3 linked regions of the Callithrix jacchus genome follow. The protein of the gene in region 3 interacts with the protein of the main gene of each other region in a pairwise test. Links are inferred from orthologs where the notes say so. Each region holds a gene or a part of one and is shown on either strand. Other genes may lie near its edges.

What was found.
Region 1: the proteins of GRAMD2B (region 3) and TMEM43 interact in binary tests that used the Homo sapiens proteins (3 or more experiments, as listed by UniProt). The two-hybrid records come from large-scale screens. The link is inferred for Callithrix jacchus from reciprocal best matches to the Homo sapiens genes GRAMD2B and TMEM43.
Region 2: the proteins of GRAMD2B (region 3) and CD207 interact in binary tests that used the Homo sapiens proteins (3 or more experiments, as listed by UniProt). The two-hybrid records come from large-scale screens. The link is inferred for Callithrix jacchus from reciprocal best matches to the Homo sapiens genes GRAMD2B and CD207.

Annotation. Positions count from the first base shown.
Region 1 is NC_133516.1:71,110,744-71,115,763, reverse strand, and holds part of TMEM43 (transmembrane protein 43), read right to left. Parts: intron 3,836-5,020; coding exon 3,718-3,835; intron 1-3,717. UniProt on the Homo sapiens protein: May have an important role in maintaining nuclear envelope structure by organizing protein complexes at the inner nuclear membrane. Required for retaining emerin at the inner nuclear membrane.
Region 2 is NC_133515.1:42,989,430-42,993,819, reverse strand, and holds the end of CD207 (C-type lectin domain family 4 member K), read right to left. Parts: coding exon 4,374-4,390; intron 3,779-4,373; coding exon 3,627-3,778; intron 2,589-3,626; coding exon 2,470-2,588; intron 1,981-2,469; coding exon 1,830-1,980; 3' UTR 1,204-1,829; downstream 1-1,203. UniProt on the Homo sapiens protein: Calcium-dependent lectin displaying mannose-binding specificity. Induces the formation of Birbeck granules (BGs); is a potent regulator of membrane superimposition and zippering.
Region 3 is NC_133503.1:82,702,539-82,707,558, forward strand, and holds part of GRAMD2B (GRAM domain-containing protein 2B), read right to left. Parts: intron 3,009-5,020; coding exon 2,942-3,008; intron 2,232-2,941; coding exon 2,128-2,231; intron 1-2,127.

The sequences.
Region 1 (5,020 bases), on a different chromosome or scaffold from region 3:
CTAAACCAGGAGGAAGCTGAAACTATGAATAGACCAATAACAAGGGCAGAAGTCGAGGCAGCAATTAAGAGCCTACCACACAAAAAAAGCCCAGGTCCAGACGGGTTCACAGCCGAATTCTACCAGACACACAAAGAGGAGCTGGTACCATTCCTTCTAAAACTATTTCAAACAATCCAAAAAGAGGGAATACTTCCCAAATCATTTTACGAGACCAACATCATCCTGATACCAAAACCCGGCAGAGACCCAACAAGAAAAGAAAACTTCAGGCCAATATCCATGATGAACATAGATGCAAAAATCTTCAATAAAATATTGGCAAGCCGAATGCAACAGCAAATCAAAAAACTTATTCACCATGATCAAGTAGGATTCATCCCAGGGATGCAAGGCTGGTTCAACATACGCAAGTCTATATACGTAATTCACCACATAAACAGAACCAAAAACAAAAACCACATGATTATCTCAATTGATGCAGAGAAGGCATTTGACAAAATTCAACAGCCCTTTATGCTAAAAACCCTCAATAAACTCGGTATCGATGGAACGTATCTCAAAGTAATAAAAGCTATTTATGACAAACCAACAGCCAATATCATACTGAATGGGCAAAAACTGGAAGCATTCCCTTTGAAATCTGGCACTAGACAAGGATGCCCTCTTTCACCACTCCTATTCAATATAGTTCTGGAAGTTCTAGCCAGAGCAATCAGGCAAGAAAAAGAAATAAAGGGTATTCAAATAGGAAAGGTGGAAGCCAAATTGTCTCTATTTGCAGACGACATGATAGTATACCTAGAAGACCCCATCACCTCAGCCCAAAATCTCCTGAAACTGATAAGCAACTTCAGCAAAGTCTCAGGATATAAAATCAATGTGCAAAAATCACAAGCATTCGTCTACACCAATAACAGACTTAAAGAAAGCCAAATCACGAATGAACTGCCATTCACAATTGCTACAAAAAGAATAAAATACCTTGGAATACAACTCACAAGGAACGTAAGGGACCTCTTCAAGGAGAACTACAAACCACTGCTCAACGAAATCAGAGAGGACACAAGCAGATGGAGAAACATTCCATGTTCATGGTTAGGAAGAATTAATATCGTGAAAATGGCTATACTGCCCAAAGTAATTTACAGAATCAACGCTATCCCCATCAAGCTACCATTGACTTTCTTCACAGAACTGGAAAAAACCACCATGAACTTCATATGGAACCAAAAGAGAGCCCGCATAGCCAAGTCAATTCTAAGCAAAAAGAACACAGCGGGGGGCATCACACTACCGGATTTCAAACTATACTACAAGGCTACAGTAATCAAAACAGCATGGTACTGGTACCAAAACAGAGATATAGACCAATGGAACAAAACAGAGGCACCGGAGGCAACACAACATATCTACAACTATACAATCTTTGATAAACCTGACAAAAACAAGCAAGGGGGAAAGGATTCCCTGTTTAACAAATGGTGTTGGGAAAACTGGCTAGCCATGTGCAGAAAGCAGAAACTGGACCCCTTCCTGACACCTTACACTAAAATTAACTCCAGATGGATTAAAGACTTAAACATAAGACCTGGCACAATAAAAACCCTAGAAGGAAATCTAGGCAAAACTATCCAGGACACAGGAGTAGGCAAGGACTTCACGAACAAAACACCAAAAGCATTGGCAACAAAAGCCAAAATAGACAAATGGGACCTGATGAAACTCCACAGCTTCTGCGCGGCAAAAGAAACAGTCACTAGAGTGGATCGGCAACCAACAGAATGGGAAAAAATTTTTGCAGTTTACCCATCTGACAAAGGGCTGATATCCAGAATTTACAAAGAAGTCAAACGGATTTACAGGAAAAAAACAAACAAGCCCATTCAAAAGTGGGCAAAGGATATGAACAGACACTTTACGAAAGAAGACATATATGAGGCCAACCATCATATGAAAAAATGCTCATCGTCACTGGTCATCAGAGAGATGCAAATCAAAACCACATTGAGATACCATCTCACGCCAGTTAGAATGGCGATCATTAAAAAATCTGGAGACAACAGATGCTAGAGAGGATGTGGAGAAAAAGGAACACTTTTACACTGTTGGTGGGAGTGTAAATTAGTTCAACCATTGTGGAAGACAATGTGGCGATTCCTCAAGGCCTTAGAAATAGAAACTCCATTTGACCCAGCCATCCCATTACTGGGTATATATCCAAAAGACTATAAATCGTTCTACTATAAGGACACATGTACACGAATGTTCATTGCAGCACTGTTTACAATAGCAAAGACCTGGAATCAACCAAAATGCCCATTGATAATAGACTGGATTGGAAAAATGTGGCACATATACACCATGGAATATTATGCAGCAATCAGAAATGATGAGTTTGTGTCGTTTGTAGGGACATGGATGAATCTGGAGAAAGTCATCCTCAGCAAACTGACACAAGAACAGAAAATGAAACACCGCATATTCTCACTCATAGGTGGGTGATGAAAAATGAGAACACATGGACACAGAAAGGGGAGTACTAAACACTGGGGTCTATTGGGGGGAAAAGGGGAGGGCCAGTGGGAGGGGGAGGTGGGGAGGGAAAGCCTGGGGAGAAATGCCAAATGTGGGTGAAGGGGAGAAGGAAAGAAAAGCACACTGCCATGTGTGTTCCTACGCAACTGTCTTACATGCTCTGCTCATGTACCCCAAAACCTAAAATCCAATAAAAAATTTAAAAAATAATAATAATAAATAAATAAATGCTGATCTCTCCCTAATGTGCCCACCATGTCACTTGTCTTTCTGAGCACAATTCGGCTGTCCAAAGAAAGCCTCAGGGAGAGTCCTTTCCTTCCAAGCCCTGTTTTCTGAACTGTAAACAAAGGTGGTGGTCCCCACAAGCTCTGACAGCCCAAGATGTGCTGCCAGACCTCTTCCAACTTGTACCTGCTGAATGGGGGAGAGGTTTCTGTTGGCACCCAGAGAAGGCTGGACCCAGTCATGTAATTGGAAGAGACACACACCAGGGAAAGGCTTGGAGGGAGAGTTCTATGTGGAACCACAACCTCCCAGGCCCAGAACATACTCAGCCACCCTGGGCACTCAGATCTCCAACCACTCTAGGACACAGGGCTCCTATTGGGCTTGCTGGCACCAACCTCAGGCTAGGAGAACGGCCCAGAACTCTCCTTCATCCTCCAGACTTGCTGGCTGTCCAAATCTAGCCCAGGTTTTGGAGTAAGGAAGGAAACATGATAGTTTTGGGTGTTTCCTATTTGCCAAACATTTCATAAAACTCTGCATGTGAGGGGTGAGGGGACTGAAGCTGAGGTGGAAAGGGAATGGCCAAGCATCCAGAGCTTGGATGTGACAGATTTCAAGCAGGTCTGGCTGGGTCCCATGTGATATTCAATTGTGGAGCAAAGGAATGATGAGCAAATGAGCAAGCCGAGTGGATGGACAGATCTTCAGGCAATGGAGCAAGACCAGTGCCCCAGAGTCGGCCCCACCCAGCCTTGCCCTTGGCAGCTCCTGGCCTCACACTTGCCTTCCTCTGCTCCCTCATCCCAAGGCTATGGAGCAGGGACACAGAGATTGGCCAACTGCCTTGTCTCTGCACAGGGGCCATCCCATCAGGCTGGAAGGGCTGAGATGATGCAACAGGCAGAGGAGACTGTAAGAGGAAGGGCAGAGACCCGCCCCGACATTTACCCAGGGTGTAGAGGATCCGAGTCATGAGGTTGAGGCCCATGAACATGGCCATCCAGCCGGCCGCCCGCAGGCCCCAGGTCTTCATGGAGTTGCTCTTTAGTTCTCTATGAAATACCTCCTGTAGGACAAGGTGGGGATAGGTCAGGACACTGAGGGGGGCAGCAGCCTACACAGTCAGCAGGGCAGGTGCTGAGGGGGCTATGGCAACCTGGAGCTGTTGACCATTTCTGAACAGGTCAGAGGGAGGTGGGGCAAGCCTCCTACAGGGCTAAGTCTTTCTGCCCAGCTAGCAAAGCACAGGGCAAGGCATGAGATCTCTGTGGATGGTACGGGCCCTCCTCAGCTCAGAGCCTGCCAATGCCTGGAGCCCTCAGCCCAGTCTCACCTGGAATGAGCGGGACCCTCCCCACCACCCCTGAGTAGGTTTAAGCATGCCTGCACTGTGTATGTGTTTAATCTCAGACCCTTTCCACATAGCTTGGGGACACTGCACCCCCCTTCTCAAGTTCCATCACTGTCCATGCCCCTCTTCCTGTCCGTTAGATACTGCAATTCTTTTTTTTATTTTTGAGATGGAGTTTTGCTCTTGTTGCCCAGCCAGCCTGGAGTGCAATGGTGCAATCTCAGCTCATCGCAACCTGTCTCCTGGGTTCAAGCAATTCTGACTCAGCCTCCCGAGTAGCTGGGATTATAAGGCATGCACCACCATGCCCAGCTAATTTTACCTTTTTTTGTATTTTTTAGTAGAGATGGAGTTTCTCCATAATGGTCAAGCTGGTCTCAAACTCCTGACCTCAGGTGATCCACCCACCTCAGTCTCCATAAGTGCTAGGATTACAGGTATGAGCCACCACACTCAGCCTAAATGCTGCATTTCTTTAGCTGTTTCAGTCCATACTCTTTCCCCAGACATCCCATCTGCCTGCTTGGCCCCCATATGCCGTGACCCTCCAATTTAAAGCTGCAGCTCTGGCCTTCTGGGCCTCACAGCCCTGCAGCTCCCACCACCTCCTCGACATTTCCACTTGATGTCTCGGCCTGTCTAGCACTGACACTGGAACCTTCTCTATCTCAGCATATGGCACACCCACCCACTCACATCTGGGGAAAAGATGTGGCCTGCTCCTCCCCCACCACCCCCATCCAGTCCAGGTCGCATATTCCCGAGTCTCTTGCCACTGTCCGCCCACAGGAGCCTCACTGGTCCTGCTTCAAACACCCACTCCGTGCTCTCCATGAAGCCACCTGCCAGAGCCCTGCTACCACTAACCCTGCCGCCAGTAGCCTGACCCCGCTGGCTGCT
Region 2 (4,390 bases), on a different chromosome or scaffold from region 3:
GCTCCCAACTTTTCACCTGACAATGGAAAAATCCCCAGAATTTCACAAGAAATTCTGTGGGGTCCATGACCCATGGAGCTGCCAAGGTATCAATAATGCGGAGACCTGCTTGAGACAGGACTAGAGCACTGTCAATGGTGGGGCTTCCTGGGCGAGTCCACACTGCCAGCAGAAGTGCAGGTGCCCATGTAGCAACTCCCTGGAGAAGCAAGACATGCATACAGTCGGGAAGGGAGCCAAGGGCACATGACAAAGCAAAGTGGCAGGTGTCCAGCTTCCTCAAAGGAGGAAGCCAAGGCAATGCTGCACTTGCCGGATACAGGCTGGGGCACAGACTCCAGATAAAGACACATCCTCACTGACTCAGGCTTTTTCAGTTTCTAGAGAAAGCAACGGGAGGGGTCAGGGGCACAGGTCTTGTAAGATCTCCATGCACAGAAACCAGGAGGATCAGAAGGGCTGGGAGGATCTGAGGCAGCACAGGGAATGTGAGCAGCCGGAGCCCCTCAGCCTGCCCTCCAGGACCCCCAGTACTACTCCTTTGAGTTGTTCTCTTTTCTCTGCCAGCTAAATCCTCTGTTGTCACTTCTCTTTACTTGAGATGGAGTCTCGCTCTATCAGCCGGCTAGAATGCAATGATGCGATCTCGGCTCACTGCAACTTCTGCCTCCCAGGTTAAAGAGATTCTTCTCCCTTGGCCTCCCAAGTAGCTAGAATAACAGGCACCCACCACCACACCCAGCTAATTTTTGTATTTTTAGTAGAGACAGGGGTTTCATCATGTCGGCAAGGCTGGTCTCAAACTCCTGGCCTCAGGTGATCCACCCACCTTGGCCTCCCAAAGTGCTGGGATTGCAGGCATGAACCACTGCGCCTGACCTAATTCACATCTTTCCTCGGCCTCTTAGCTTTTGCTCATTGTTAGTTTCCTCCAGTGCCCCATGACGGCCCCTCCAGCCTTTCTCTAACTCAGGGCCTTCCAACTCAACTTCCTTCTGTCAACAGCCTCATCCCCTTGTTATTTCCAAATTCTTTCCCAGAGAAATGGTCTGATTTTCCCAGCTCATCGCTTGGCCAAAACCAACCAGAGATCCCTGACCAGCCTTGTTCTTGTCACCCCCCATTTCCTCCATTGGCGAGGGAGAGATCCCCTGCTCTGCTTAGGACAAGATGGCCAAAAACACGCATTTGACGCTGGTCAGATGAGATTGACAGCAGTTTACTAGTCAAAATAGAGTCCAGTGAGGAAAGACATCACAAGCCATGCAGGGCCACATGGGGTCACGCTCAGGAGCAGAGTGAACCAACAGGGCTGTGGGAGGCAGCCTCGCTGTAACAAAAGCATGAGGTGCCTCGGGTTCCTGTGAGAGGATGTGATTGGCTTGTTTGAATAGCTTCCCAGGCTGGCAGAGAAATGAAACCTATTAAGTAGAAAACTGAGTGGAGTGCAGCTGGTCCAGATGGTAGGGAACTAGCCAGCTAGGGAGCTAGGGCAAGGGCACATAGGGTGAGAGGCAGGAACTCAGGCTTAGGTCTTTGGAGCTCTGTGAGGCTCAAAGATGGCACAGCAGCAGAGCAATTGGAAGTTCTAAATCCTCTCCACCCACCCCTCCCACTTTAACCTGAATCCTCCTTTCTGTTCCAGCTGCCTCCATGGGGTTGGAGAATTTGCAGCCAGGACAGACGGACTCCAGAATGCCACTGTGGGACAATTTTGAAGCAAGAAAAATTAAGGTGCAAAGTCATCCTGGAGTCTGGGGAAGAAAGAGGCATTTCCTCATATTTGACAAGCGCTGGAACTCCAAGAGTGAGCTTGGGAACTTGTCCTGTCATGGTTCTGACGGAATGTAGGGTCGCTTACAGATGAAAAGAAATGTTTGGTCACATGGGGCATCATTCCAGGACTGAAGCGAGGATGCCTTTAAATTGGCACAGTGTTCATTGTTTCCATAATTGTTGGGCTCACCTGGAATCCAGAACCTACCAAGTGGGGGAAAAAAGATGGATTTACAAAGTTGGAAAATGAAGAAGAACTTATATCCACTGAAGAAATAAGTTAACTCAATCCCAGGTTTAGTTGTAGGGAATGGCAGCAAATGTCTGCACCCAAGCCTAAGAGGAAGAGGACTCGTGAGGCCTCTAAGCTTTCACTCACGCCCCAAGTCCAGTTCACCACTCTCAAGTCCCTATACAAACCCACAATGTGAAGACCTAGACTCATGACACAATCCCTTCTGAAGCTGGCCAGGTAGAAGGCCTTGCTGCCAAACCCCAGAGGGCATGGAGGGCCCAGGTCCCACAGCCAGTTAGTGACAGGGTTGCACTAGATCTTGGTTCCAATGCTCCTGTCACCCTAGGACAGAGAAGAATCAGAAACCCTGTCTCGTGGGGAGCATCACCTCCACTCTCTTCTTTCCCAGGCCATAGCCAGGGAAACGCAGGCTGGCAGGGAGGGGTCCAGAGCCTTACCTCTCACTTTGGACCTTGTTGAATGGCGTGTCATCCACCCAGGACCACTCCCCTTCCATTCCTGCTTTAGTCAGGCCAATCCAGTAGATGCGTCCCCCTGCTGTCTTATACAGAAACTCCTGTAGGAAAGACAGGATAAGAAGAGGTGTGGCCACACCCGGAGCTTGATCATCATCTCTGGGTGTTTGTCACCTGTGCTCAGTGACATCCCTGACCCACAGATGTGCTGCACACAATGGCCTCTCTCAAGCCTCTTCTTGCCCTGCCCAGGGCTCAGATTTCATCTTCCAGATTATGATATTTCCCTGCCCTGCAGCTAACAAGCTCAGGACCCAAGCCTTTCTGCCACTCAGGAAGCAGGTGCTGAAGTACAAGAAGGCCTCAGCTGAACGCCAGAGCATGGACCCCAAGAGAATGGTTCAGATTATAACACCTGAATTTAGCAAGCTCTGAGTCCACATAAGGCACTGTGCTGAGTCCTCCATATGCATTCATTCCTTTCCTCTCTGAGGCAGGTGCCAGCACCATGCATGTTTCATCAAGTAAGGGACAGTGAAGTTTGCCCAGTAAAGTTGCATATTCCACCCAAGCTGCTAGGACTGGATAGATGGCAAGGTTAGGGCTCTAGAACTACTCCAGAGCCCAGGCTCTGACCTGCTCTGCTATCCCACTGCCCAGATGAAAAGGGCTCATGCAATTTCTGCCTCACCAGGCAGGAGACTTCTTGAGTCATGAGGATTCATTAATGCTGTTCACGAATATCTCTTTTTTTCTGGGCATGTGGAAAGTAGCACCTCTCTGCCCTCTTTGAATCCAGGAGTACTGTATAACTTACTTTTGGCCAGTGAAATGTAAGTAAAAATGAGGTAAGTTAAATCTGGGCCGAAGCTTTGCACAATACATCAAGTTCCCTTTTCCTGCCCCAGCAATTGTGGAAACATGTTAAAATGAAGTCTCCTTCGGCCTGGGTCCTTGAGTAGCCACAGTGCCCAGAGCCCCCTTGACAGTCCTTATTGGACATGGTATGTGAGAAATAATGCTTCTTCATTAGGTCATCAATATTTGGGGATTTTTATTAGCCCAGCATAATCTTGTCCATCCTCCCTGGCCCAATGCTTATACACCCCCTTCCCAGATCCCATAGGCACAGCACTCACCTGCTCACTCTCTGAGGTCACCGAGGTCAGGTGTGAATTCCTGGAAATGCAGAACTGCTGGGCACTATACCAGGTCTTTGGGATGCGAGAAAAGTAATAAAAGTTTCCCCTGAAGAAATTCCAGCCTTGAGAAACCACCTGTAGAATGTCATCTAGAGAACAAGAGCTAAAAGTGAACGCTGGTATTCTTGTTTTCTTGGGGTGCTAGCTTGGTGGGGGCAATTGAATGAAGTCTCAGAGACAGCAGCAAATGCAGCTGTGCTCTGGTGTCCTTGGGTCCTTGTGTAGGGGACTGGGGATACTCTTTCAAATCCTGAAAGTCAGACAGAGACTAATAGAGTCTCTGGGACTGGAGAGGTTAGAATGTGATAAGATGGACAAAGGATGTCTTTCCCATGAAGGGGAAGCAACTCTCCATTGGCGATGACAAGTGGCTGCGGCCCTAGACTCTAGAAAGGAACTTGATGGGAAATGACCAGGTATGGGCCAGGGTGGACATCTCCTAATGCTTTTACATTCTGCACTTTGGTGTGGTCTAGCTCCAGCTGGACCCTAGTCTCTTTTCCTAACAGCCCCTAAGTGCTCCCCAACCCAAAGCCTTCTCTCCTAAACTTTCTAGCCCATGGCTGCCCCTCTCTTGCCCCCCATCTCCTCCCCACCCCACTAGCCCCATAGTCTCAGGTCTGGGACAGGTAAGGGTCCCATGGGCCGCTGGTCAGTTTCAATGTAATTTTCTGAGTGACTTACTTTGTCGTTTGAGCAAC
Region 3 (5,020 bases):
GATGATGTTAATAAAAAACGGGTCTAATTTAGTTTCTGAGCAGCAATACAAACATGCAGTGACAAAGGGCTATAAATTTAGATTTTTCATCATCTAAGGCATGGAACACCCTTAAAAAGGAGTTTTCAATCTATTGCTTCATGAGTATAGAAGTACAACTAGATAACATTTGTAAAATAAAGCTTAAATCACTTATCAGTTTGAGCCTAGACAGAATGTGATACATGCATGTTAATATTGCTAACATATGAAAATACCAACAGGCTGACTAAAAAGATCCTGATTAAATTAAGGCTACATTTTATTCATATTGTTCCAGAGTGAATGATAATATTTTTCCAGGGCAATGGTAACATTTTTCCAGGGCAAATTGCTTTAGAAAAGGAACTTGATCAGAAAGTTCCCATTGTAGAGCAATTGTTTGGGTGTCTTGAGCTCATATTGGACCACATTGGACTGAAGTCCACTGGCAGTGAGGAAAGTCTGCAACATCTCTGAAGCCCAAGTCTCCTTTGACACCATTCTTAGAAGGGATGGAAGATACGAGTCACTATCATGGTTCTTATTCCCACACTCTGCTAATTTTCAATCTCCTGCCTCGGTAGGTTACACATTGTAAAAGCACTCTTGGTGGATCCATGTCTTCAAAAAACCAGGGTCACTCCTTCTAACTTCTTTTTATCAGTTCTCTCTTAGGTAGAAGTAGAACTTTAAAACCATTGCTAGAATCCTATTAGCTTGAAACCGCACTGACTGCCTTTGTGAATTCCCCAATCCCTTAACAAAGACTAACACTTTGTTCATCAGTGTCTTCAGTCCCTGCTGCTCTGCTCACAGATGTTGGCTCTCTGTGAATTTCTGAGAAGTGTATCACACTGATTGGTACTACCCAATCCCCTTCCCCATTCCATGAAAAAGCCCTTTAATTCAGAAATGTAGAAATATATACAACACTGCTTCATATTGCTTTGTATTATACTGATTCAGATAATACTGTGAATCAAATAATGCTTATCTAAATATAACTCTATATGATAAAAATCAATATAAAAAGAAGATGTTTTACCTAAAGAATAGTATGCTAGTCTCTAGCTCCAACACCAACAAAATGGTCTTTATGTGATTGCTGCCAGTGGTTTTAGAGAGAATATTTAAATAAAGCACATCTACCACTCAAAACAAAAAGTTTATTCAGCTTCTTCATGAATATGAAAGTTGCTTCTTCATAACCACGAATCAGAATGATTGACAACTCATTGAGGTCATGCAAACCCAAGAGGGTGTTTCTCGGACTCCTTATTCTGGAGGCCTGAATGAACTGTGATGTGACATCATAGCTCAAAAGTAAAAAAAAAAAGTCAGTGGGATAGAATTATCTTTCCTTCACAGGCCACAGTCCCATGGTCCCCAGTTTAGAGGGCAGTACCAATTCCTTTAGGCTGTTCTCCTTAATGCCTCAGGGTGTCATGTGTCTCTGCTTCCCCAAATCTGTGTTTAATAATAATGAAAAGCTGTGATATCAGAGTCCACTTGGGATTGAGGGTATCTAACTTCCCAGGCTAGGCCTTAACTGCTCTACTTCCTGCTTATTTTTTGCCAGGGAGGGTACGGCGGAAACGCTAAAAAGTAGCTTATTTATACGCCTTCTGCCCTAGACATCGCTGGTGGTAACTGGTATAAATGTGGTACAAAAATGGATGTTTCTTAAAAGAAATCATTGTAGTTTAAATGTATACCTTTGAAAATCATGGCACACCCTCCATAGAAACAACTTTGAGTGTTCCCTGGTGACATCTTAGTAAAAAGGATTTAGGGTATCGTTATGGGTGAGATATAAACTTTCTCCCTCCTTTATTTATACACGTATACCTCATATATGGGTATATGTGTATAAGGAAAGGAGGGAGAAAGTTTAGAGAAAAAAGGAAAATTAGTGTCATCTGGAAGCATTTAGAACCTGTAGTATTTGGAACTAAAACAAAGGAAACTTGGCATAAAAACAGAATAACCATGATATAAATATCTATAAATATAGCTAAATTTAAGACAATTAATATTTACCATATCCAATAAAAGTATAGGGTTAGTGTTCTTCTTCTTCTTTTTTTTTTTTTTAATTATACCAACCTTTGTGTCTTTTCCAAAGACCTTGGAATGAAAACAAATCCAGTTTTCTGATACAAAGAGCTTTCCTTGGTATAGTATTTCTTTCTGTAGTGCACAGGTAAAGCCTAGGAGAATATACAGAGATATAGCATCATTTAGAATTTCCATTTAAAATTAAAACTGTGTATATATTTTAGTGACTCAAGGATGGGCAGAGATAATATATTCATACTCAAAAGTTCTATTGCCTCTTCTTCAGTCTTCTTTATGGGAAGAAAGCTATGGCGACCAGGTCATGGCAGGAACCCAGCATCTTGCCTTAACTTTTGCACATCAAGAGAGACTAGAATGGAACGTCGGGCCCCTTGAGGAACCACTGCAGAGCCCATTAGGTGTGTTTAACTTGCATACTGGGCAAGATATTTAGGTGACCATCACACCCTTCACAGTGGCATCAGCACATGTCTGTCCATGTCTAAGGATGTGAGTTTTCTTTTAGCCTTCTTCTAGTGACCTCTGTTGCCCCAGGCTTGTTATTCTAAATCTTAAAGCAATCTAACATGTGTATTTCAGCAATAAATAAAGAAGGGAAGGGTATCATGGAACCATCTTGGGTGACTCCATACCCCATGGAGAACTGTTTCTCTTTCTCCTCTCTGATCTTTTCACGCTGCCTGATGAAAGCTGACTGAAGCTGGTGTTATTGTTATGTCATGACTTTCAGAAACCTGATCCCCTGGGTGACTCAGTCCGTACACTATGCTCTCTTTCTTCCCCAGAACTAATTATCATCTTTTCAAATATGTAGCTAAAAAAGTCAAACGTCAGAACTTACTTTGCCTCAGTGGTTCCTCCGTTGGAACATTAAGAAACAACTTGTGAAAGTGCATATTGGCCTTGTACTACAATGAGAACAAAAGACAAGCATCACTACTCTCATTTTCTTGTGGAACATCACAAATTTTAGCTTCAATAACAAATTTCCCCTCCCTTAATAGTAACTTTAGGAATTCCTTCTCACTGATCTTACAGTCTCTGACACAAGCCTTCAGGAAAACATAGTGAAAATTAGGGCATACAACTTTCATTTTCTAACAAGTTTAACGCTTTGCTGGTTGGATATAATGATGCAGCTGCTGGTCAGCCTACTGCCAAGGTAACAGGGCTGGACAAGGATGTCCCTGATGAGAAATGGGATGAAATTCTAAGGAGTCTCATTAGGGAAGGTACTGAATCCCAGGTCCTAAAGGTCCCAGTAAGTACTCTCAGAAGAGTACAGTGGTTAAAAGCTTTGCAATCACGTAAGGCTGAGTTGAAGTCTTGGCTGTAGTGGCTTTACTTCTTGGTGTGTGACCATGGCTTAGTCACTTCATCTCCCTGGGTCTTGGTTTCCTCTTCTGTACTAGAGAGCAAAAACAGTACCTGCCTCAGGCTTAAATGGGATAATATACCTAAAGGACCTATAGTCTAAGGCAACATATGGCCACTCTTCCTACTGTATCATTTTGTAAAGGCATTTCCCTAGCCAGTGACAGGAGTAGGATACAGTAGGCTACTGTCAAGACAAGTAGGATTTCATACGAAGATTTCACTCTCCAGGGCAGCAGGCGGACCAAGACTGTGAAATGTTGCAAATCACTTCATCTTCAAGGGATCTGTTTTCACAACTGTGACAATAACAATGGATAGCCAGCAATTCACAGCTTGTAAAACACTTTCACCTGCACCATACAGCTATTAAGAGGTAGAACTTTTAGCTGAACATGATGGCTTGTGCCTACAGTCCTAGCTACTCAGGAGGCTGAGGTAGGATCTCTCTTGAGCCCAGGAGTTCAAGGCTACAGTGTGTTATGGGGTAGAACTGGGTATTCCCTCCACAGACTCAATCTGTCTCACAGGATGCTTCTGAAGGAAAATTCTTTTTTTTTTTTTTTCAAAGGGAGTTTTGCTCTCGTTGTCCAGGCTGGAATACAATGGTGTGATCTCAGCTCATTGCAACCTCTGCCTCCCAAGTTCAAGCAATTCTCCTGCCTCAGCCTCCTGAGCAGCTGGAATTACAGGTATGCGCCACCACAGCTTGCTAATTTTGTATTTTTAGTAGAGATGGGGTTTCTCCATGTTGGTCAGGCTGGTCTCAAACTCCCGACCTCAGGTGATCTGCCTGTCTTGGCCTCCCAAAGTGCTGGGATTACAGGCATGAGCCACCATGCTCGGCCTCAAGAAAAAATTCTTATAAGGAGAATGGGTAGGAGGTCCTGGATGCCTTATTATTCAAACCAAGAGTGGTCTCAATGGCAAAACTGGCCGTATTTTGCCATAAAGAACTATAGACCAGGTCATCAAGATGATAGATGGTCCCAGCAAGTCAGCTATTTTATAGATAAACACCTTAAAGAAAGATACCTTGATTAAAGCTAGGTGTTCTGTGGGGCTTCACTGAGCTTTTGTTTTTAATGGCTACAGTGAGCAATGGATGCACACTTGATTTAAAATATACTAGCCCATAAACTATTCAAAAATGTCAGTGTAATAAAGGGCCAAAAAGGTAATGGGGCTGATCTGAATTAAAAGGGACATAGCAGGGCTGAGTGTGATATCCAGAAAAGTAATCTGAGATTACTTATCACAGGCTTGTAATCTCAGCACTTTGGGACACCGAGGTAGGCAGATCGCCTGAGGCCAGGGGTTTGAGACAGGCCTGGCCAAGATGGCGACACCCTATCTGTACTAAAAATACAAAAATTAGCTGGGTGTGCTGGTTTCACCTCTGTAATCCCAGCAACTCGGGTGGGTGAGGCATATGAGAATCACTTGAACATGGGAGGTGGAGGTTGCAGTGAGCTGAAATTGTGGTAAAAAGAGCAAGACTGTCTGGAATAAAAAAAAAAGAAAAAAGAAAAAGAAAAGATAGCAA